Macaca mulatta: one gene and its partners. The protein of the gene in region 2 binds, or shares a complex with, the protein of the main gene of each other region. Links are inferred from orthologs where the notes say so. Each region holds a gene or a part of one and is shown on either strand. Other genes may lie near its edges. The genes, in order: B9D2, TMEM237 and MKS1.

What was found.
Region 1: TMEM237 (region 2) and B9D2 share a complex: the UniProt entries of both Homo sapiens proteins name them as parts of the tectonic-like complex. The link is inferred for Macaca mulatta from reciprocal best matches to the Homo sapiens genes TMEM237 and B9D2.
Region 3: TMEM237 (region 2) and MKS1 share a complex: the UniProt entries of both Homo sapiens proteins name them as parts of the tectonic-like complex. The link is inferred for Macaca mulatta from reciprocal best matches to the Homo sapiens genes TMEM237 and MKS1.

The regions. Positions count from the first base shown.
Region 1 is NC_133424.1:52,505,748-52,513,173, forward strand, and holds the start of B9D2 (B9 domain-containing protein 2), read right to left. Parts: upstream 4,133-7,426; 5' UTR 3,919-4,132; intron 3,825-3,918; exon of another isoform or gene 3,748-3,824; intron 3,505-3,747; 5' UTR 3,501-3,504; coding exon 3,413-3,500; intron 1-3,412. UniProt on the Homo sapiens protein: Component of the tectonic-like complex, a complex localized at the transition zone of primary cilia and acting as a barrier that prevents diffusion of transmembrane proteins between the cilia and plasma membranes.
Region 2 is NC_133417.1:106,786,691-106,794,013, forward strand, and holds the start of TMEM237 (transmembrane protein 237), read right to left. Parts: upstream 4,986-7,323; 5' UTR 4,902-4,985; coding exon 4,860-4,901; intron 4,203-4,859; exon of another isoform or gene 4,163-4,202; coding exon of another isoform or gene 4,145-4,162; intron 2,458-4,144; coding exon 2,426-2,457; intron 1,789-2,425; coding exon 1,784-1,788; intron 559-1,783; coding exon 502-558; intron 1-501. Other genes in the region: MPP4 (MAGUK p55 subfamily member 4), read right to left, coding at 6,973-7,164. UniProt on the Homo sapiens protein: Component of the transition zone in primary cilia. Required for ciliogenesis.
Region 3 is NC_133421.1:51,777,045-51,784,349, forward strand, and holds the end of MKS1 (tectonic-like complex member MKS1), read left to right. Parts: intron 1-96; coding exon 97-153; intron 154-1,512; coding exon 1,513-1,555; intron 1,556-1,810; coding exon 1,811-1,876; intron 1,877-3,322; coding exon 3,323-3,393; intron 3,394-3,730; coding exon 3,731-3,800; intron 3,801-3,902; coding exon 3,903-4,010; intron 4,011-4,174; coding exon of another isoform or gene 4,175-4,200; exon of another isoform or gene 4,201-4,343; intron 4,344-4,529; coding exon of another isoform or gene 4,530-4,603; exon of another isoform or gene 4,604-4,684; coding exon 4,685-4,818; intron 4,819-5,364; coding exon 5,365-5,447; intron 5,448-5,532; coding exon 5,533-5,630; intron 5,631-5,712; coding exon 5,713-5,804; coding exon of another isoform or gene 5,805-5,893; 3' UTR 5,894-6,458; downstream 6,459-7,305. UniProt on the Homo sapiens protein: Component of the tectonic-like complex, a complex localized at the transition zone of primary cilia and acting as a barrier that prevents diffusion of transmembrane proteins between the cilia and plasma membranes.

The DNA of each region.
Region 1 (7,426 bases), on a different chromosome or scaffold from region 2:
AAATAAGAAAATACACCGAGTACTTACTAAATCCCAGATGCTATGCTAAGCACTTTAGGCAATGCATTCATTTAATTCACCCTCTAGGACTCTTAATTCCCTCCTCACTCCCCAGTTTACACTCTCCACCATGGCCCACATGGCCTGGCTCTTGCTCCCGTCCCTGAGTTCATCTCCCATCACTCTCCCCATCCCTCATCACCCTCTGGCCTCACTGTCCCACTTCTGTCTTCCCACCTCAGGGCCTTTGCACTGGCTGTTCCCTCTGCCTAGAAAGCTCTGCTCCTGGATGTCCCCATCCCTAGCTTTTGTTTTCATCCTTCAGGGCCCAGCTCAAGTGCCACTTCCACAGAGGGGTTCTCCCTGACCCTCTTCTCCAAACACTAGTTTCTGTCACATCTTTTCTTTTCATCCTAGCACTTACCACTGTCTGTAATCACGGTGCTGCTTTCTTTTTTTTTTTTGAGGAGGAGGAGACAAGATCTCCCTCTGTCACCCAGGCTGGAGTGCAGTGGCACAATCACAGCTCACTGCAATCAACCTCCCAGGATCAAGCAATCCTCCCACCTCAACCTCCCGAGTAGTTGGAACCACAGGCACACATCACTATGCTCTGCTAATTTGTGATTTCTTTGTAGAGACGGGGGTCTCACTATGCTGCCCAGGCTGGTCTCAAACTCCTGGGCTCAAGTGATCCTCCTGCTCCGGTCTCCCAAAGTGCTGGCATTACAGGGGTGAGTCACCACACCCAACTGCACTCGTTTATCTGTTTCTTTTCTTTTCTTTTTTTTTTTTTTTCTGAGACAGAGTTTTGCTCCTGTTGCCCAAGCTGGAGTACAACGGCACCATCTCGGCTCACTGCAACTTCCACCTCCCGGGTTCAAGTGATTCTCCTGCCCCAGCCTCCCAAGTAGCTGGGATTACAGGCACATGCCACCATGCCCAGCTAATTCTTTGTATTTTTAGTAGAAATGGGGTTTCACCATGTTAGCCAGGCTGGTCTCAAACTCCTGACCTCAGGTGATCTGCCTTTCTCAGACTCCCAAAGTGCTGGGATTACAGGCATGAGCCACCGTGCCTGGCCTGCTTATTTATTTTCTGTCTCCCCTACCGTATGGCCCAGGAAAACAGGGACCTTGCACACTGCTGGATCTCCAAGACCACAAACCCAGCTCTTGGTATACAGAAGGTGCTCAATAAATGTTTCTTGGACAAATTAGTGATCCTAGGAGTTGGGAGCTAATATAATCCCCATTTAACAGGTAAAGACACAGGCTCTGAAAAGGTAAGTTCATGAACATTTATTGAGCACCTGCTGTGTGCCAAGCACTGTTTTCCATGCTGGTGACATAGCTGTGACTATAGCAGACCAAGGTCCCATCATGGAACTGGATTCAGACTCAGCTCTAACTGCAGAGCCCAAGCCGTTCATCCAACTGCCTCAGTATTCTTGGCTGGGTCAACACCCCCAGCAACTCCCTGAAGTAATAAAAATCAGGTTAGTCATTACTCCCTTCTGGGCTGAGTGAGGGAAGCACCAGGCCCTCAGTCAGGCTGCTTAAAAGCAAGATTTCCCAACAGCCCTATGAAGAACAGATGAGGAAACTGAGGTTCTAAGAGGGGATGGCATCTGCCCAGGGTCACAGAGAAGGTGAGTGGTGGCGTGGAACCTGGAAACCAAGTCTGACTCCAGAGTCTGCCTCTCTTCCATCAACTGGAGGGTCCTGATTTCCTGGGAATCTCAACTTCTACCTCACTTACCTGTAGAATCAAAAAGGACCAGAGGCCAGGGGCAGTGGCTCACACCTGTACTCCCAGCACTTTGGGAGATCTAGGCGGGCGGATCACTTAAGGCCAGGAGTTCGAGACCAGCCTGGCCAACATGATGAAACACCATCTCTACTAAAAATACAAAAATTAGCTGGGTGTGGTGGTGGACGCCTGTAATCCCAGCTACTCGGGAGGCTGAGGCAGGAGAATCACTTGAACCCAGGAGGCAGAGATTGCAGTAAGCCGAGATTGTGCCACTGCACTCCAGCCTGGCGACAGAGTGAGACTCTGTCTCAAAAAAAAAAAAACGGCCAGGCGCGGTGGCTCACGCCTGTACTCCCAGCACTTTGGGAGGCCGAGACAGGTGGATCACGAGATCAGAAGATCGAGACTATCCTGGCTAACACAGTGAAATCCTGTCTACTAAAAATACAAAAAAAACTAGCCGGGCATGGTGGCGGGTGCCTATAGTCCCAGCTACATGGGAGCCTGAGGCAGGAGAATGGCGTGAACCTGGGAGGTAGAGCTTGAAGTGAGCCAAGATTGCGCCACTGCACTCCAGTCTGGGCAACAGAGAGAGACTCCATCTCAAAAAAAAAAAAAAGGGACTAAGACTCAGGCCTGAAGACATGATAATGCCAAATGGCCACATCTGTTTCATGGACATTTATCTGTGCCAGGCAACCACATACCCCAGGCTTTACAAACAAGACCCCATCAAAGTCTTGTATGAGCCAGGCAAACACTGAATGGGCACTTCATATTCCAGCCCTATTCCTATTCTAAGTGCTGTTGATATTTGTTTAGTACTCATGACAACTTCAACAGGTAAATATTTCTATTACTCTCATTGTACAAACAGAGAAGTCGAGGTGAAGAGAAGTGCCCAAGGTCACATAATCAGCCCAAGAGTGCATTAACAAGCAATAACTAGTTTTGAACCCAGGCAGTCTGTGCTCTTAACCTCAAACCTGTGCTGCTTCTTGGCTGCTATTAGCTTCACTTTCAGACAAGGAAACTGAGGCTCAGAGAGGTCAAGTCCAAAGGTCTCCAATTAATAGAAGGGAGAGTTAGTATTTAAATCCAGATCTGGCAGCCCATGGCCCTAACCATTACACTATACCATGACTCTACAGGGCCTCAGTTGGGGAAGCATGAACAAAATTACTTTCCTGGGATGTGGTGGCTCATGTTTTTAATCCAAGCACTTTGAGAGGCTGAAGCGGATGGACTGCTTGAGCCCAGGAGTTTGAGACCAGCCTGGGCAACATAGCGAGACCCTGTCTCTACAAAAAGTTTAAAAATTAGCCACACTTGGTGGTGCGTGCCTGTAGGCCCAGCTTCTCAGGAGGCTGAGGTGGGAGGATCACTAGAGCCCAAGAGTTCGAGGCTGCAGTGAGCTATGATCACACCACCTTACTCCAGCCTGGGCGACAGAGAGAGACCCTGTCCGTAGCCCCTGCACAAACGAAAAAACAGATGGGAGCTTGAGACTCACGTGGACAGGGTGTGGGCTAAGCCTGGAGTACAGAGAGCTGATGGAAGATGAGGTTAAGGCGCTGCGTTAACAGGTCGAGGAAGGAGCATGCAGCCTCTAGGCTAGGGGTCTTGGTGTGGAAATTAACCAGGCCTGGGGGAATACCTGTGTGAATGCCCCACTTGCAGAACAGGCTACTTTCCGAGAAACCGCTGGCCCCCATGATCTGCCCGATCACGTGCACCTCAGCCATGGCCCTGGGATGGGAAAAAATATAATCACAACCCTGTGAGGTAAGTATATTATCTCCATTTGACAGGAGGGGAAACTGAGGCCCAGCAAGTAAAGGGTAGTACTAGGATTCCAAGCTAGCTTCCTCACACCCCTGAGGCTGAGGTCTTGACCACAGATCCTAATTGCCAACCCATGAAAGCCTGGAAAAAATGGGGGGACCCTTGTCTGGGGGGAACCAGCATTTAACTCTGCGAGGTCTAAAATACCTTCTTTGGGTTCAGGTCAGCGGAAAGCCCCGCCCACGAGCGAAAAGACCCGCCTTCCGCGTCATGTCAGCCACCCCGCTTCCCTCACCCAGCAAGCTCTATAAGGCGCATGCGTTGAGTTCCGGGCCGACTTAGCCACGCCTCCAAGCGCAGCGCATGCGTTATTCCTACCTTAGCGCACTTAACGGTTAGGAGGGGCGAAAGCGGCAACGGGGGTTGTAGTTCATGGGGTTGAGTTGACTCGTTTTTTTCTCCGCGGGCGCCTACCAGGCCTGGCTCGCGCCTTTCCCAGGACCTTCCCGGCTGCGAGAAATGGAATCCGCGATATTCCGCGTCCGCGCTCGCCTTGGGTTCCGTGGTTGTTGCTGGAGCAACAGCAGGCTCCTCCCCTGGCTTTGTACTCGCCCTCCGCGCCACTGATTGGTGTTAGCCGTCCCCGGGAGGCGGGGTGAAACTGTGATGGACATTTTCCTCCTCTCGCTCCATTTTGGGAAAATAGCGTCTCTCCAGCTACGGCAAAGGGTTCCGCCATTTTGGCCGTGGCTAGGAAGCTGCCATGTTGAGTGTGGCTGAGGAAGTTTGAGTGCAGTTTCTCCCAGATGTCCTCTTTACCAAAAAAAGCAAATCCGTAACTGCTCCGTGCTGCGTGAGGACCCCACCGAAGAGCTCTCTATGGTCCGGGATCACAAATCAGAGACTGAACTATGACCAAGGAGGAATTCCTTCCAGGACCTCATGTACATCCCCTACCTCATAACTGGAAAACAAAGCAAAAAAAATCACTCCTCATTCACAGAGAGTGGAGAAATTGGGGAGTGGGTTCTGCTTCCGTTTTAGAGTTCCCCTAGGTTTTTCAAGGACAAGGAAGGAAGTTGGACTTACCCAACTTCTACCAAGCTACTACCAAGTTCACTGTTAAACTGCTTGAGTCTGAGCAAGGAACCGTTGGGGTAGCGAAGAGAAATGAGGAACTGGGATCCCCTTATTTGCAGAAAATCCTCTTTTCTATTGATTGATTTCTCAATCAAGAAATGGAGATGTCCCTGGATGCCATCATAGATGCCATCATTTCCCACATCAAGCCAGTCATCAGGTCCCATCAAGACTCCATAAAAGGGTCGCACTGTGTAACCCAGGCTGGAGTACGGTGGCTTGATCACAGCTCACTGCAGCCTCTGAACTCCTGGGTTCAAGGGATCCTCCTACCTCAGCCTCCCATGTAGCTGGCATCACACACATGCGCCACCACGGCTGGCTAATTCTTTTTTTTTTTTTTTTTAAGAGATGGAGTCCTGCTGTGTTGCTGTGTTGCCCAGCCTTTGTCTTGACCTCCTGGGCTCTAGCTAGCCTCCCAGTTTGCTCTCCCATACTGCCGGGATTACAGACCTGAGCCACCCAGCCAGGCCAATAGACACGAGTATTTAAAAGCCACCCTTGGCTAGGCTCATGACTGTAATCCCAGCCCTTTGGAAGGCTGAGGCGGGAAGAGCTGTTGAGGCCAGAAGGTCGAGTATAGTGAGACCCCCATCTCTACAAAAATAACAAAATAATGCATATATCAACTAGTGAAATATTCCAGTGAATTGTTTAATATAAATGTTATCCTACTGAAATGTTGCCCCCTCCTTATAATTTTGGATTTTTGTTAGTTTTTTTTTTTCTTTTTTTTGAGATGGAACCTCGCCTTGTCGCCCAGGCTGGAGTGCAGTGGCGCGATCTCAGCTTACTGCAACCTCTGCCTCCCAGTTCAAGCAATTTTCCTGCCTCAGCCTTCCAAGTAGCTGGGACTACAGGCGCACACCACCACACCCAGCTAATTTTGTATTTTTAGTAGAGATGGGTTTTTTATATCTTTCTGGATGCTGTGTGGGTGAGGAAGACAGCTCTAACCTTTCAGCTCTTGGGGCCTCTGGTCCCCTAGTGGTGGCATCAGCCTTGCTCTCTCTTTTCTCAAGCCCTCATTTTGTCCATCAGGAAATCTTAACTGTCTCTACTTTTGAAATGCACCCTAAAATCCACTTCTCACCTCTTTGTCGCCCAACACCTTCATCTGTCCAAGTTCATCTATCACCTGGACTATGACAGGGACCTTGTCTCTGGGGTCTCCTTTCCCAACCCTCCTAGTCTGCAGCCCACATGCATCTGGAACCCTGTGAACACCTAAGTCAGGTCCCATCTGCTCAAACCCCTCTAGTGGTCCCCATTTCACTCAGGGTAAAAGCCAAAGTCTTACCATGCATGACAAGGCTCTCCACAACCTGGCTGGCACCTCCTGCCTCCATTTTGTATTTTTAGTAGAGACAGGATTTCGCCATGTTGGCCAGGCTGGTCTCAAACTCCTGACCTCAGGTGATCCACTCACCTTGGCCTCCCAAAGTGCTGAGATTACAGGCATGAGCCACTGCTCCCAGCTGGGGTCTTCATTCTGAAGGCTCCCATGTATACATGTTAAATAAGAGAAAAAAAAATTACTGTCAACCATAAATAACAAGATTCAGAAAATATCATTGAGGCCGGATTCAGTGGTTCATGCCCGTAATCCCAGCACTTCGGGAGGCCAAGGCGTGTGGATACCCTGAGGTCAGGAGTTCGAGACCTGCCTGGTCAACATATAGTGAAACCCCGTCTCTACTAAAGATATCAAAACTAGATGGGTGTGGTGGCACATGCCTGTAGTGTCAGCTACTTGGGAAGCTGAGGCAGAAGAATCACTTGAACCTGGGAGGCGGTAGTTGCAGTGAGCCGAGATCACACCACTGCACTTCAGCCTGGGCGACAGAGCAAGACTTCTACTCTCTAAAAAGAAAAAAAAGTCCGGGCGCAGTGGCTCACACCTGTAATCTCAGCACTTTGGGAGGCAGAGGCGGGTGGATCACCTGAGGTCAGGAGTTCGAGATCAGCCTGGGCAACACGGTGAAACCCCGTCTCTACTAAAAATACAAAATTAACTGGGTGTGGTGGCACATGCCTGTAATCCCAGCTACTCGGGAGACTGAGGCAGGAGAATGGCTTGAACCTGGGAGGCGGTGGATGCAGTGAGCCGAGATTGCGCCATTGCACTCCAGCCTGGGCAACAAGAGTAAATCTCCACCTCACCAAAAACAAACAAACAAATAAATAAGAAAGAAAAGAAAAAAAACAAGAAAAGGAAAGAAAATATGATTAACTATAGAGTTTATTCCAGGCTACAAGGCCAGTACATATGTTACAGCGATTTCATTAGTACATCTTGCTATGCTGCAGGGAAGATTGCGTTAACATTCTGTGAGGAGGAGTACTCTTTCTTTCTTCTTTCTTTTTTCTTGAGATAAGATCTTGCTCTGTTACCCAGGCTGGAGTGCAGTGGCACAATCACAGCTCACTGCAGCCTCGAACTCCCAGGCTCAAGCCTCCCACCTAAGCCTCCCCAGTAGCTGGGACTACAGGCATGTGCCACCATGACCAGCTAATTTCTTAATAAATTTTTCTGTAGAGACGTGGTCTCACCATGTTGCCTAGGCTTGTCTCAAACTCCTGGGCTCAGGTGATCCTCCCACCTCTGCTTCCCAAAGTGCTGGGGTTACAGATGTGAGGCCACAACGCCCGGCCTAGGAGTAATGTTCTGAGGCGATCTTATCTCTGGCACTGCTTGGTCATTCTTAATCATTTACAGGAAAAAGCAGAAGTTGTAACTGCATGC
Region 2 (7,323 bases):
ACTTCCAGGATTATTAGTGGATGACTAGGACAAAAACGAGTTCTGCTCATGACTGAAGCTTTACTATTTAAATGATGATGTGGCCATGCTTTCAGACTCATGCTCTAATGTAGAGATAATCTGACTGAAGTGAGATTTAAGAACTCTGTGTTTCTAAATTCAGTATCTTGTTCAAGGGTCTGGAATCAATCATAGCTTAAAACCATGTATGTTGTCTAGGGATAAAAGATCTTAAAGAGTTCAGGAATATCATGGAAGTAGGAGCTTAGATGGCACCACCTTCTATTCCATGAATGCATCCAGATACTCCTCAGGCTACCCACTGCCCTGCACCTGACCACCACCAGGAATTCCACTGCTTCAAACTGGCCTTAATTCTCTCCTCAACGAAGTGGTGATTCTGGGCTGCTGGGGCCTTACTTCTCCCTGATCTGTGAAGTTTACCATGCCTGAGGTCCTGGGAAAACTTGTGATCCCACACAACAAAGAATAACATCTTACCTGGTGTGTTTTTTGTTCTGGGCTTCTTTTTCTTAGGACGACTAAGTGGAATATCATCTATAAAGCAGGGGAAAACGTCAACAGAAAAGGCTGCCTAAAATTCAGTGCAGAGAACAATCAGAAGAGAACTTTTAGCAGGGAAGAATTTTCCCTCTCTTCCCTGGGCCCAGCAAACTTTTATAGATTAGGGGAAGAAGGCAAGAAATTGAGAAGACCAGAGAGCGCCCACACTGTGGTACCAGTAGCACACTGCGAGTCAGTAATGTTAGAAACCATGACACAGAAAGTGGGTTCAACAAATATTCATCTGATCCCCTACATTTCCCAGTCCCCTTGCACATAGGTGTGGTCTATGACTGGTTCTGGCCTATAGGCTGTGAGCAGGTGATCTGTGTCATTTCAGAGCCAAACGTTGAAAGAGCCAGTGAGTAATCTGTCAGCTTCTCTTCCCTTGTTGTGGTGACTGAGGAAGCCTCATGTTAAGATGGTGGGACCACAGCATAGAAGTAGCCTAGATTGCAAGCCAGGCGCAGTGGCTCACGCCTGTAATCCCAGCACTTTGGGAATCCAAGATGGGGAGATCACTTGAGCTCAGGAGTTCAACATCAGCCTGGCCAACATGGCAAAACACTGTCTCTACTAAAAATACAAAAAGTAGCCAGGCATGGTGGCACACGCCTGTAATCCCAACTACTCAGGAGGCTGAGGCAGAAGAATCACTTGAACCCAGGAGGCAGAGATTGCAGTGAGCCAAGATTGCACCACTGCACTCCAGCCTGGGCAACAGAGCAAGATACTGTCTCAAAAAAAAAAAAAAGAAGTAGCCTAGATTGCTATACCAATAGTAAAAAGGTAGTGAAAGGCAATTGTCCCCAGTTTTTGCCATAGCGGAGTTGGTATTAATTAGAAATAACCCTGTGTGATACTAAGTCACTGAGATTTGGGGGTTTTTAGTATGGTATAACCTTGTCTACCCTGACTAAATGAGACAAAGGAAGGTGCAGTCCTCGTTACAGAGCTACAAACTAGCCAACAGTTGTGTGCTCGGTGACCCCATTCAGGGATGAAGTGCTTTTATAATGGCAAGGTCATCTAGTGCTATGTATTAAAGACAATTTTTAAATGGTAGTCATGGGAGATTATTTGACAAAAACATATTGTAGAATTACAAATTACACCATTCAGATTCGGTTTTAAGATAAACAAACCAAGGAATCAAACTAATTTTTGAACACCAAATACTATATTTAGAAAATTTTATATTCACATTAAACTAACTCACCTTGACTAACATGTCATGTAACACCAAACAAATTTAATCAGCAGGACAAAGACAAAAAAGGAACAATTAATTAGAAACCTGTTAATATTCACAGTGAAAATTGACTTAAATCATTACAAATTTAAAATAAAATTAGCTTTCATGTAATAGCTAGTTTACAGACTAGTTTACTGTTTATAATTAATAAGCTGTTTAATAACACTACTAATAAAATAATGTCAATATTTTCTGAACCCACATATACATATTCCCTACTGTCTATTAATAAAGTGGATTAAGCAGATTAAGAACTCTTACTTGTCACTGATTAAAATCAGCTTAAACTCTGAGGAAACTATTCTCACAAACGAAAGATCAGAATTCTGATTAAAAAAAAAAAAAAAAACACTAAAACAGTTAGAAAGGGAATGGATCCATTATCCTACCATGATGATATTCAGGCTTTTAAATTTAACATTCAATTTTAACTGCTATTCTTATAATTCAAGGATTTTTCACCTTTAAAATTTCAGAAAATCCCTAAATTTTTCAGAAGAGTTTCCAGAATCATTGTAATTTTGCAATGATACTAGTTAATTTTTCTACTGTCTTCGTTTTCCATTTTTAAAGCTCAATAATGAAATTACTGTAAATTATGTTTACCTTGGCACAGGTGGAAGGGCTCGTGGAGGACGCTGTGGGGGAAAAAAAGAAATTTGCTTGTAAGTAAAAGCCTAGAGCATCTTTACTTCATGTATCCCAAACACCATAAAGCTATTCTTTTTTTCCTTTTTTTTTTTTTTTTTTTGAGACGGAGTATTGCTCTGTGGCCCAGGCTAGAGTGCAATGGCACGATCTTGGCTCACTGCAACCTCCATCTACTGGGTTCAAGCAATTCTCCTGCCTCAGCCTCCCAAGCAGCTGGGATTACAGGCACCCACCATCATGCCCGGCTAAGTTTTGGTTTTTTAGCAGAGATGGGTTTTGCGATGTTGGCCAGGCTGGTCTTGAACTCCTGACCTCAGGTAATCCGCCCACCTTGGCCTCCCAAAGTGGTGGGATTACAAGAGTGAACCACTATGCCCGGTGAAACCACTTCTTTCAAAAGTCTGTTGTTCAGACATGACAGAAAAATATAATGGATCGGACCAGGATCTTCAAATCTTTTGATAATCTTGTTCATTAGTGAAACCTGGGAGGTACTGATGAGAAACATGGGCAATTTAAAATTTGTTCTCCCATTCTAAATTTCATATAAAATTATTTCCTTCCTACATTCCTTTCTATCTCTAGGCCAGGCCCTTTTCTAAGCATTAGGAGTACACTAATGAACAAAACGGAGAGAACTCTGCTTTTATGGAACTTACATTCTAGTGGTTATTAGAAACAAGGTTAAATATATATAATATATACTATATATTATATGCAGCATGTGTAACATATATATGCTATATTTAAGACATATATCTTGTATACATACCTTGTGTATATATACACAAACACAAACACACAAAACGTAATGAATGAAGGAGACTGAGTGCTACTTTTGTTAGGGAAAGTTTCTCTGAGATATTTGAGCTGAGACCTGAATGAGAAAGGAGCAACCGGAACAAATGCAAAGATTTTTAGGTTAAATTGAGCCTGGAATATTTCAGGTAAAAGGACAGCAAGGCTGCCGCACAATTGCCAAGGAGGTAGGCAGGAGCCAGATTTAGTTAGGGCCTTGCAGACCAAGGCAAGGAGTTTGGATTTTGTTTTAATTCAATGGGAAACCAATGGAAGTTTTAAACCACATACTAACACAAATTTTTAAAAGGCCACTTGAATATACTGGGAAGAATGCGTTTTAGGGCAGAAAGAATGGTGGGGGGAACCCTTCTAAACGCTCATTTATATGAATAAGAAAAGTGTTTGCAGTCAGAGAGCATTACAGTTGAGAAGTATTTTCAGAATTAGATACTAAGAGAAATGCCTAGAAGCCAATTTAATGTTCCAAGTATCTCATGCTGCTTGCATAAGACATTTATTCAAAAGGGTTAAATTTTAGACATTTTTGTAGTTTGTCCCATTTAGCAATCCATTCGTTCGAACAGTAGATTAACGCAAGTACTACAAGATTAGGACGAGGCAAGCTCCCGTAATACCATCCAGTAGTCAAAATCACAACTGGAAAAGAATGACAATCACGGGAACGCGCTTGTTCTACAGATGCTACGAAACGCGCGCGATCGATCCAAGGACTCAGTTCACGAAACTGATTTCAAAAGTCCCGCAAAAATGACATTCCACCCACCCAGAGACCCAACCTCTACTCCTCAAAAGTAGGACGGCTCAACTGAAGACAAAAATCCTAACAACTAAAAGTAGCTAAGGCTCGCTTACCACAGGATTCTTCCCCATTCTGTGTTTAGCCGGCCTCGGCAGCCGCCGGCCCGCAAGCACCCCTCCCGGCTCTGTCGCGCGCGCAGGCGCAATGCGTCATCGGGCAGCGCCGCCGGGTGGGTAAGTTGGGGTGAGAGACGCGCAGGGACCTGGATTGGCCAGTCCAGACTAGCCCTGCCAAAAAAGGGGCCTCTGAGTTGGGGTAATGTGCCCAGGAGCAGAGATTCGGCGACCGTGGCGCTGCAATCGCAGCTTTCCCGTGGTTTCCTAAGTGGTCGCGGTGATTTGTTTGCGGGGAGCGAGGCGTGAGGGAAGACCTTGGTTAAAGGACTCCGCAGGCAAACAACGATCTTTTCTAGGCAGCTACTGCCCTCTCGGAGGGGGAGTCTATGAGAGGCCTGGCTGGAAGCCCCAGCACCCGCCGGGCGCTGGGCCTCAGAGAAGTGAGGCGTCGTCGTGGCAACGCGGGCTCAGGTACCCGCAAACTTCATGCCAGGCCTCTCTCCCCTACTCCAGGAGTTCGGTCCCGGCCTCGCCTGGGTCTCCGTCCCACTCCTGTGAATGCTGGAGGGGCGGACGCGCGCACCCCATGAGCAAGGCTCTCCCTTAGTGATCCCCAGCTCGTTAGCGCCCCCCACACACACCCACCCCCACCCCGCCAAGTGTAGCTGTTTACCCGCCACCCCTCGAGGCCGACGCGTCCCTCGCCGCTCACCAGGTGGCCCTCCTCCAGCCGAGCCCCCGAGTCAGCCCTCATGGTGCTCTCCCCGCGGGGCTTCCCCGGCGCAACCGCCGGCGGCCCGAGCCCAGCTCCCCGCGACGCTGCAGCCTGGCGAGGCCGCCTCCCCGTGAGCCAGGTCCCCGCCCGCCTCTGCCCTGCCAAGCATTGCTGGGTTTGGGACGAATGTGTTTACTCTCTAGGACCAACGAGTCTGTGCGGGCCTGGGTGTGTGGATGTGTATTAATATAGGCAATTCTCACATTTTCTCCGATTGCTTACCCTTCATCCCACAACTGTGTAAATCAAATTTGGAAAAACTTTTTCTTGAAGAACCTTAAAATCAAATCCGACCTCACATAAATATCACTACAAACTACTTAATTTGCATAGTTTTATTTGGTTAGGTTTTTTTTTTTTTAAGATAACTTTCACTTTAAGTAACAGAACTACAAATATTTTGAATCATGCATTCTATTTTACAGTTAAGAAAGAGATGAGAAAGATGGAAGAATGATGTGGATATGGAGAAGAGAATGATGCAGAAGATGAACAGATACAGGGACAGGGAAAGCGCCTGGAAATCTCAAATCTGGGGGAAGAAAGAGAAACAGGACTTTGTAATGGCATCCTAATCTTGTTACCAAACAAACGGGGTTTGTTGCCCTATATGCACAGAAGCCAATATTATGATGCTGGTTTTTTGAGAAAAGTTGTTATTGCGAGTCAACTAACAAGGAGACAGGAGTATAGCTCTAATCTGTCTCCCTGTGCTGGCTTTAAGACAGTATTTTTATTAGAAAAGGTTTAGGGAATGGATTCTGGGATTAGTAAATGATTGGTGGAAGGAAAGAAGCCATCTGGAAAATCTTTTGGCGTTCGCGGTTACCTCTTCATGTCGCTTCATGGGTCGCATGTGCAAATTTTGGAGGGAGTCAGTATGAAACATGGGGGAAGACTCGAGCTGTAACGCCAGCAAGCTCATTTTGTACAGACTTCAGGTAGCCATCCGTGTTAGTCCTAACCAATTTCAGCCAGTTTGCTTTATTTTGTTTTTTAATCTCACAATAGAAGAAGTTTAGGCGTTTTAGCAAATTGTTTTTTATCTGCTGTCCTGCACGCTCAAGAATTTCTGTTAGTCCCTGGTTTAACTCTGAGACACGGTTTCAATCTTGTGATTCTTCTATATATAGGTCTCCTGGACTAATCCATTGCCTTTTCTAATTTAGGCATGCATGTAGACATTGGCTGTAAGGAAAATTCGTGTTTGTCACACCTCTGATGAGAATAATTTTTTCCTTGTAGGCTGATTTGTAAATAGTGAAGGCAGTGCAGTTTTTTGTAGGTTTTGATTTTAGATGTGAAATGTGCATATTAAACCTTTCTTGCTGAATTAAGTAAGCACTTTTGGTAAAAGATGTTTTCTTTTTTTTTTTTTTTTTTGAGACGGAGTCTCGCTGTGTCTCCCAGGCTGGAGTGCAGTGGCGTGATCTCGGCTCACTGCAAGCTCCGCCTCCCGGGTTCACGCCATTCTCCCGCCTCAGCCTCCCAAGTAGCTGAGACTACAGGCGCCCGCCACCACGCCCGGCTAGTTTTTTGTATTTTTAGTAGAGACGGGGTTTCACCATGTTAGCCAGGATAGTCTCGATCTCCTGACCTCGTGATCCACCCGCCTCGGCCTCCCAAAGTGCTGGGATTACAGGCTTGAGCCACCGCGCCCGGCCAAAAGATGTTTTCATAAAACACGTTTCATAGAGTAAAATACAATTTCTGAAGTTAAATATTGCTTATTATATTTAGGAAAGCTCTTTATTTAAATCTTTAAAAGATATGAAATCTGCAAAAGGTTCTCATACTCAGTGACTTAACATTATTCATATTTCTACTACAGCTGCATATGAGATAAAGGAAAAAAAATTTTTAAGAGCCAAATAGGTAACTACATAACCATACAATAAAAATTTTTTCAAATAAGATTAATTAATAAACTACTGCACTTTTAAAGTTGTACACATTATAATGGGTCAAATACTGCTGTTTTAGATTGCAACTGTGGATCGCTGTAACAAGGGCACAGTGTTAAAACTCCAGCATTAAACAAGAAGTCTCATTAAGACTCAGTATCTGAGGAAATCCATGTTGCTGGTACCCACTGAGGCTCCTCCTGAGCCTTCTGTATGGCAGACAACAACTGGGCACATGCATCATGCAAGCTGTCATTCACAATCACATGATCAAAAAATTGGCCAAACTGAGTTTCCATTCTTTGGGCTAAATTTTCCATCTCTTGTAGGTCTTCATCCTTTAGGAGAAATAGAAAAATATGGATAGTACAGACTTAATTGGACAAATGGAAAAAATACAGTTTGTTATGCTGTCACATTCAGTCGTGAAACTACTTATAAAAACAGTAAGGTCCGCAAATTTTGCACAGATGATTTTTAATAATGTTTAAAACATA
Region 3 (7,305 bases), on a different chromosome or scaffold from region 2:
CTTCCCACTATTGCTTTTCTTCTTCTTCCTGTTCAGAACTGAACTTTGGTCTAGCTTGGGTTACATCTTGAGTTTTGGTTTGGTTTGTTTCCTCAGCTTTATGGCCGGCACAAGGAGTATCTCAGCAGCCTCGTAGGCACTGACTTTGAGATGGTGAGTAGCTTGGCTTCCTGCAGCACTGTGAGCTGTGTTTAGCCGGAGCATTCTGACTGTGGATGGGTTACAGCACTTCTCTTAAAGGCCTCCAAGGTATACTCTACGGTGTGAAAAGGAAGTCAAAGAATAGCACATATAGTCCTTGTTATGTGTTTTGCAACATTGCATGTTGATAGAGAACTGTTAATGCCGAGAAAAAGGCCTGAAAGGCTACGCATATGCTGTGGGTGGCTTTTTTGGGGAGGGTGGGATTAGATGTGGTAGATGGGTAGTGGGTAGTGAGAGGGATATATCAGGGATTTTTGCTTTTTATTCCCTAAACTCAGGTAGTTTTGAATTTTTATCAGTGGTAATGTATTTATGTATTACTTTATAATTAATTTAGAAAATAAATATAAGGATGAAAAATGTCTTCTTCACCTTTCATGTGGATATTTTTTCAAAATACCCCATAGAGAGGCAGGGGTGCCATTTCTGTTTGTCACATATTTTGGCTCTTAAAAAATATAGGCCCGACGTGGTGGCTCATGACTATAATCCCAGCACTTTGTGAGACCAAGGTGGGAGGATCACTTGAGGCCAGGAGTTTGAGACCAGCCTGGGCAACATAGTGAGACCACATCCCTACAAAAATTAAAAAAAAAAAAAAATTAGCAAGTCATGGTGATACATGCCTGTAGTCCCAGCTATGCATGATGCTGAGGCAGCAGGATTGCTTGAGCCCAGAAGTTTGAGTTTGCACTGAGCTATGATCACACCACTGCATTCCAGCCTGGACAACAGATCAAGACCCTGTCTGAAAAAAAAAAGAAAGTGGTTTAGTTCAGCTATTCTGTCGTGCTGTTCTTTGTCTTTTCTCGTTCTAAGTGTTCCATCGCTAGACCTGGAAACAAGGATAGAATTACTGGTCTCCCTCTCTTTCTCTGAAAAATTAACATTCACTGTTTCCATATTGCATAAGCAACAGATATTCAGTATTTAAAAGTTAGATAAGACAGATGCACAAATAATTAAAAAAGAAAACTCCCTGGTTTCTTGACCTCAGCTGTGTAAAGGGAACCGGGCATTCTGGCTTCCTATTGCACACCACAGGGCAGTTGCTGTTGCTTGGCTAATTTCCCATAGTGCATTGTCCTTACTGCCATTTAAATTATGTACTTTCCCCTTACATTATGTATCTTAGGAATGAAGGAAACAGATCTGTGGAGAAGTGTCAGGGTGGGGAGAAAGTGCAGTAGTGACACCCAGGATCTGACCCCCAGTGTCAGGATATCTGCAGATTTGTAGATGAGGCTGGAGGAGAAGTGCCAGTTCCCTTCAGGCCTGCTGATCCTTTCCCACTTCTCTTCACCTTAGACTGTCCCAGGTGCCCTCCGGCTCTTTGTAAATGGAGAGGTAGGTAAGTGTCTTGCTAGCATAGATCTCTTGATGCTAAGGCACGTGCCTAGATGTAGCCGTGAATAGTCTCCTCCACCCTGGTAGAGGTCTTGTCTGCTGTACTTGGGAAACTCAGTGGTGAGTCTTTCCTGGAAATGCAGAGGGTTCCTGGCCCTCAAAAGACTTGCTCTCAGGGTGTGTTGGACCCTCAGGACTGGGTTGGGTGCTAAGGGTGGTAGGATAAAAAGCTAAAATAGCTTCCTGTTTTCTCTCTTAGTTTCAGCCCAAGGCTATGAGTATGACAATCTCTACGTCCACTTCTTTGTGGAATTGCCAACTACTCGTAAGTAATATTCTTAAGTCTCTCTTTTATACCCATTCAGACAGATGTAGAGGCATTTGGTCAGGCTTCCTTTCCCACTCCTCTGCTGAAACTGTTACTGTTCTTTTCAAGGTTGTAGATCACATCCACTTTGCCAAACCCAGTGGGAACTTTCCTGCTTTCACCTCGCTTGACCTTCCTGAAGCATTTGCCAGAGCCCACTGTGCTGCATGACACACTTCTCTGGCTTCTGGCTCCACATTCTCTCTCCTGTCTCACTGGTGGCCCCTCACCTTCCTTGGGTAATGCCTTCTCTTCTGCTGATCTTACACCGTGAGGGTACCCATGGCTAAGCCAAGGCCTTCTGTTACTCTCTGTCTGCAGTCTTCCTGGGTGACCTCATCCATCCCATGGCTTAAATACCATCGATGTGTCTCAGACTCCCAGGTTTCTGCCTCCAGCCTTAGCCTGGACGCCAGACTCGTATCCAGTTACCTCTTTGTCATTTCTGTCTAACATGATCAAAGAGAACTCTGGATTCCTCCTCTTCCCTCAAACCTCTCCTCCCTGGTATTCCCCATCCTAACAGAATGGCAGTATCTGAGTTGCTGATGCCAAAAACCTAGGGGACATCCTTGATCCCTCACTTTCCCTAGCTCCCTATAGCCAGCCAATCTGTCAACAGTTCCTGTGCGTTCTGTCTTCGAAAGCTGTTGTGAACCTGTCTGTTCTCTCCAGCACCCTACACCAAGCCACCACCGTCTCTTGTCTAGGCCAATGCATTCAACTTCTGACTTATCCCCCTGCTTCCTGCCTTGCTCCCATTTGCAGTTCATTTGCCACAGACACCAAAGCCAAGTTGAGTTTTAAAAAATGTAAACAAGTTATGTCCCTTTTGAGCTGAAAACCCCCAAGAGCTTCGCCTCCCACTTAGAATAAAATGTAAACTCAATACCCTGAATGAGCCTCTGCCTATCTCTTCCGTACAACATTTCAGTCGTTCTTCCCAGCCAGGTTCATTCCCCCCTTAGAACCTTTTAAGGGCCGTTTCCTTTGTCTGAAACCCTTTCTGCCATATCTTAGCATGGCTGGTTCTTTCTGAGTTTAGGTCTCAACCTGTGTCACTTCTGAAAGGCCTTCTCTTACCACCCGGCCTAAATGAGCCTCCCAGTCACTCAGTCCCTTCCCGTTTTGTTTGAATAGAGCACTCATCACTACCCAATAGTCTCTTGTTGGTTTGTTTTTTGTCTCCCTGATTCCCCCAGAATGTCAGCTCCATGAGAGATGGGGATCTTTTCTATCTAGTTACCAAGATACCCCTAAGATATACTAGCACATAGCAGGCACTCAGTAAATGATAAATGAATGATAGATTGTGTGAATAAATGAATAAAGAAACTTTGTCTTTTTCTGAACGACTTGCTTTCCTCCCAGGTGAGCTTACTATATTTGTTCTTTGGCTTTCAGACTGGTCAAGCCCAGCATTCCAGCAGCTCTCAGGAGTAACACAGACATGCACCACCAAGTCCCTGGGAGTGGTATGGAGAATGAGAGCGGGTATCTGGAAGGGAATGAGATCTGCTCCTGGGATGGCATTTGAGGTTTTGTCAGGCCAAGTGCTGTGCACCCTGGGGAGGATTCTGAGTTGGGTGACTTGTGTGTGGGTTCTGCAGGGCTACCTGGCCCGGAGGTCCTCTCTGCCTTTTTGAGCATGGCAGCAGCTTGTCTTCGGGTGTCCCTTTGCATCTCAGACTCCTATTTCCCACCTGGGTGATAATTTTTCTTTTTCCCTTGTGAAGATAACCTTGTCATTGGCCACAAGGAGAACAAATTCCAAGGGAGGGCTTGCCCACCCTATGACACTCCTTTTTATAGGACAAGGTGGCTCACTTCTCCTACCCATTCACATTTGAAGCCTTCTTCCTCCATGAGGATGAATCTTCTGGTGAGTAGCTCAGCAGTTGATCCTGGGCCTTGGTTCCCCTCAAGCAGTGCTGTCTTGGTGAAGGCCCGCCTGTGACCTGGCCGCTTCTCTCGTTTCTCCCAGATGCACTCCCGGAGTGGCCTGTGCTCTACTGTGAGGTCCTCTCGCTGGACTTCTGGCAGAGGTACCGTGTGGAAGGCTATGGGGCTGTGGTGCTGCCTGCCACTCCAGGTAACCGCTTGTCCCCGCCCTTCCGTGGCTCACATGCCCTAGGCCCTACGAGCAAGACTAACACTCGAATGCTTCTGGTGAGGGGTGGGGATAGCTGGGAATTAGAAGCATTTGGCTTGAAAGAGTTCCTGTTCCTCTGAGGACTATCTGCCCCACTCCACTAGAGACAATAGCGTGGCCTTGGCGCTGACTTCCTGACAGTCTTGCCATGTGCTTCGTGCTCCTCTGATTGGACTCAGGGTGAGAAGCTGTATGGCAAAATCGGCTCATAGCATGTGTGTATGGAATGAAGCAGCATTCAGTTTGGAATAAAAGCATCTGTCTTCTACTGTGTGCCAGGCATTGTGCCATACTTCTCACTTATTCTCCCAGCCACTCTGTGCGGTGCAGGTGGTATTATTTCCATTTTACTAGATGAGGAGAATGAACTTCAGGGAGGTTAAGAAACCTGTCCTGGGTATGCAGGGAATAACTGGCAGAGCAGAAATTTGAATTTCTCCCTGATTGACTTCCAAACAGGTGCTATGGGTAACCATGACAACCTTCACCAGAGGCCAGGTCATCACCAGACCAGGTGTTTTAGCAAAGTCTAGGCCTGTGTCATTGCTGGGGAGTCAGTGAGGGGCCACATGCCCTTTCTGGACCCGGCCCCAGTCTCCTCTTCCCTTACGCAGGCTCACACACCCTGACAGTCTCCACATGGAGACCTGTGGAGCTTGGCATGGTGGCTGAGCTCAGGAGGTTTTTCATTGGCGGTTCTCTGGAACTGGAGGACCTCTCCTATGTGCGGATACCAGGATCCTTCAAGGTGACTTTTGTCTTTGGAGCGACTTCATGCTGGGAACTGATGGTCCTGTCCTTCTGTTCTGTAGGAGGTGGGATCTGGGTCAACACCCCTTAGTTGTGCATTGCTTCAATATTAGCCGCTTCCTTCCTATGGCTTAAGCTGGAAGTCAGGACCACATTTTGAACCAGGTTCCAATATCTACACTGCTATCATAGGAGGTCTCTGGAAAATAGTATAGTTAGAGATTTCCCTTGGTCCCCATCAGAATAACGGGCTCTTTCTTTCCCCCGTCACTGAAGGCCTCAGTAATCAGATGTGGGAAGGATTCACAGTAAGCATGTAAGACCGCTGCCTCTCAGATGAGGTTGGAATGTTCCCTGGTGTAGTTGGGGGAGCCCAGTAGCCCAGTATTAGCCTTGAGGTAATAGAGTCTGGGTGATGGAATAAGGTTTCCCCAACAGAACTGTGCTTCCTAAGAATGGGAATAAGAACCGGGGCGAGGCCAGCATACTGCGGGGGTGTCTAGAGACGGCAGAAACCTGATGCTCTCCCAATGGCATGCCGCAGGGGGAACGCCTGAGCCGCTTTGGACTCCGCACAGAGACCACAGGCACCGTCACCTTCCGCTTGCACTGTCTGCAGCAGTCCAGGTGAGGGACCTGGCCCTCTGCCTCGGGGCACCTTATCCCTGAGGGGTGGAGAACAGCCGTAACCATGTGGCTGGCCTCCCTGCAGGGCCTTCATGGAATCGAGCTCCCTTCGGAAAAGGATGCGGAGTGTGTTGGACCGTCTGGAAGGGTTCAGCCAGCAGAGTTCCATTCACAATGTGCTGGGTATGTCCCCTCCCCAAGCTGGCCACCCCGGGTCAGCATGGGCCTGTTGGGCAGCCAAATACCATATCTCCTTTCCTTACAGAGGCCTTCCGTCGAGCCCGGCGCCGCATGCAGGAGGCCCGGGAAAGCCTCCCGCAGGACCTAGTGAGCCCCTCTGGAACCCTGGTCTCCTAGCTCACAGCAGCCCTGGGCCACAGTGCAAGAGGACAAGATGGGGGATGTTTGAGGCCAGTGCTCTCCTGCCTCTTCGTCTGTCTGACTAGAGACCACGCTGGTCTGCTGGGAACCAGAAGAGCTGGGAAATTCCCAGCTGGCCCCTCTGCCTAGCCTTCTGCAGGGTTTTCTCCCTACCCTGGGGAAATAAAGCCAGAGACCCTGTGGCCCCCCCTTCATGTTTGCAGTCACTGTAAATGGGCATCACAGCAAGGCAGGCTTTTTGGTCTGAAGCTGTTTGGGGTGACCCCATAGTGAGTATGGCCTTGACTCACTTTTCTGGCTTGTCTCACAGTAGCAGGGGGATGCAGGGATCTGCTGTTCTCCAGCCTTTAAAAATGGAGCCTTCCTTCTTGCAAGACCAAAGAAGGAAGGAAGGAAGGTGGACGGTGAGAGGGGTCTTAAATCCCCAGCCTGTGAGTCTCAGCCTCCTCTTTCCAGGGCAGCCTCATTCTACTGCTTGGGGCTTGCTGAGGTTGAGATATGAGTTATTTCTGAGTAGGTGAAGGTTGAAGGCAGTGCTGAGTCCTTTCTGCTAGCTGGTTGGTATCTTTTACTGTGTTCTTTTTGTTTTTTGGGTTTTTTAAATCCATAAACCCCTTTTATTTTGACTGATGTTCCGTTGGCTGTTTGTCTGCTCAGGTTGCTGGTATGGCTGGGGTGTTCTTCTTAATGTCAGGGCCCTACCATGTCTGCCCTTCCTCTTTTCTGCCTTTCCCTACTCCACAGTGTTTCTTTGGGCTCTCCTAATTCAGCCCCCAGGAGAGGCTTAGATGGTTGTGCCAGCGTGCGTGTTAGCAGCACTTCTCTTCAACACCTGGAGCAAAGCATGGAACTGAGGCCACGTCCTCCCTAGCCCCACACAGAAACAGCAGCCCCTGCCCTTAGCAGTGCTTTATTGGTAGAAGCAGAGCATGCTGCCCAGCCTCAGGCTCAGAGGAGGACTGTGGGGTCTCTGCAGGCTAGGACTGAGTGGTCTCTCAGTCACGGTGAGGGAGGGGAGGGAGGGCTGGGAAACAGTAGAAAGTGCTGTAAACCCTCCAGCTGACTTTTCTTGCCTGGGGTGCAAGACAACATAGCTTGGCTCCCAAGCCTTTGCACGTGGCACTGATTCATAACCTAATACCTAAGAGACTCCCACGGCGGGAAGGTCCATTGCTGCTAGGAGCCCCCAGCTCTCACTCCCGGCTGGGGAACCCAGCTCTGAGCTGTAGCCAGCAGAAGCGTCAGCAGGCGGCAGTTGCTCCAGGGGGACAAGGCAGCTTCATGGTCCTCCCCTTCTCCTTGTCTCCAAAAGTTGGAGGCTTGGGATAGACTCCTGTGGAAGTAACAGAACGGATAAGTGAGGAATTTACTGGACATTTAGAAATGGAGCTGTTTTTGGGTATTAGTGACCAAACTGAGGATAGTTGGATGCTCCTAATTTCCTCACCAAAGTCCTAGGGCCTGGGATTGACTGTCA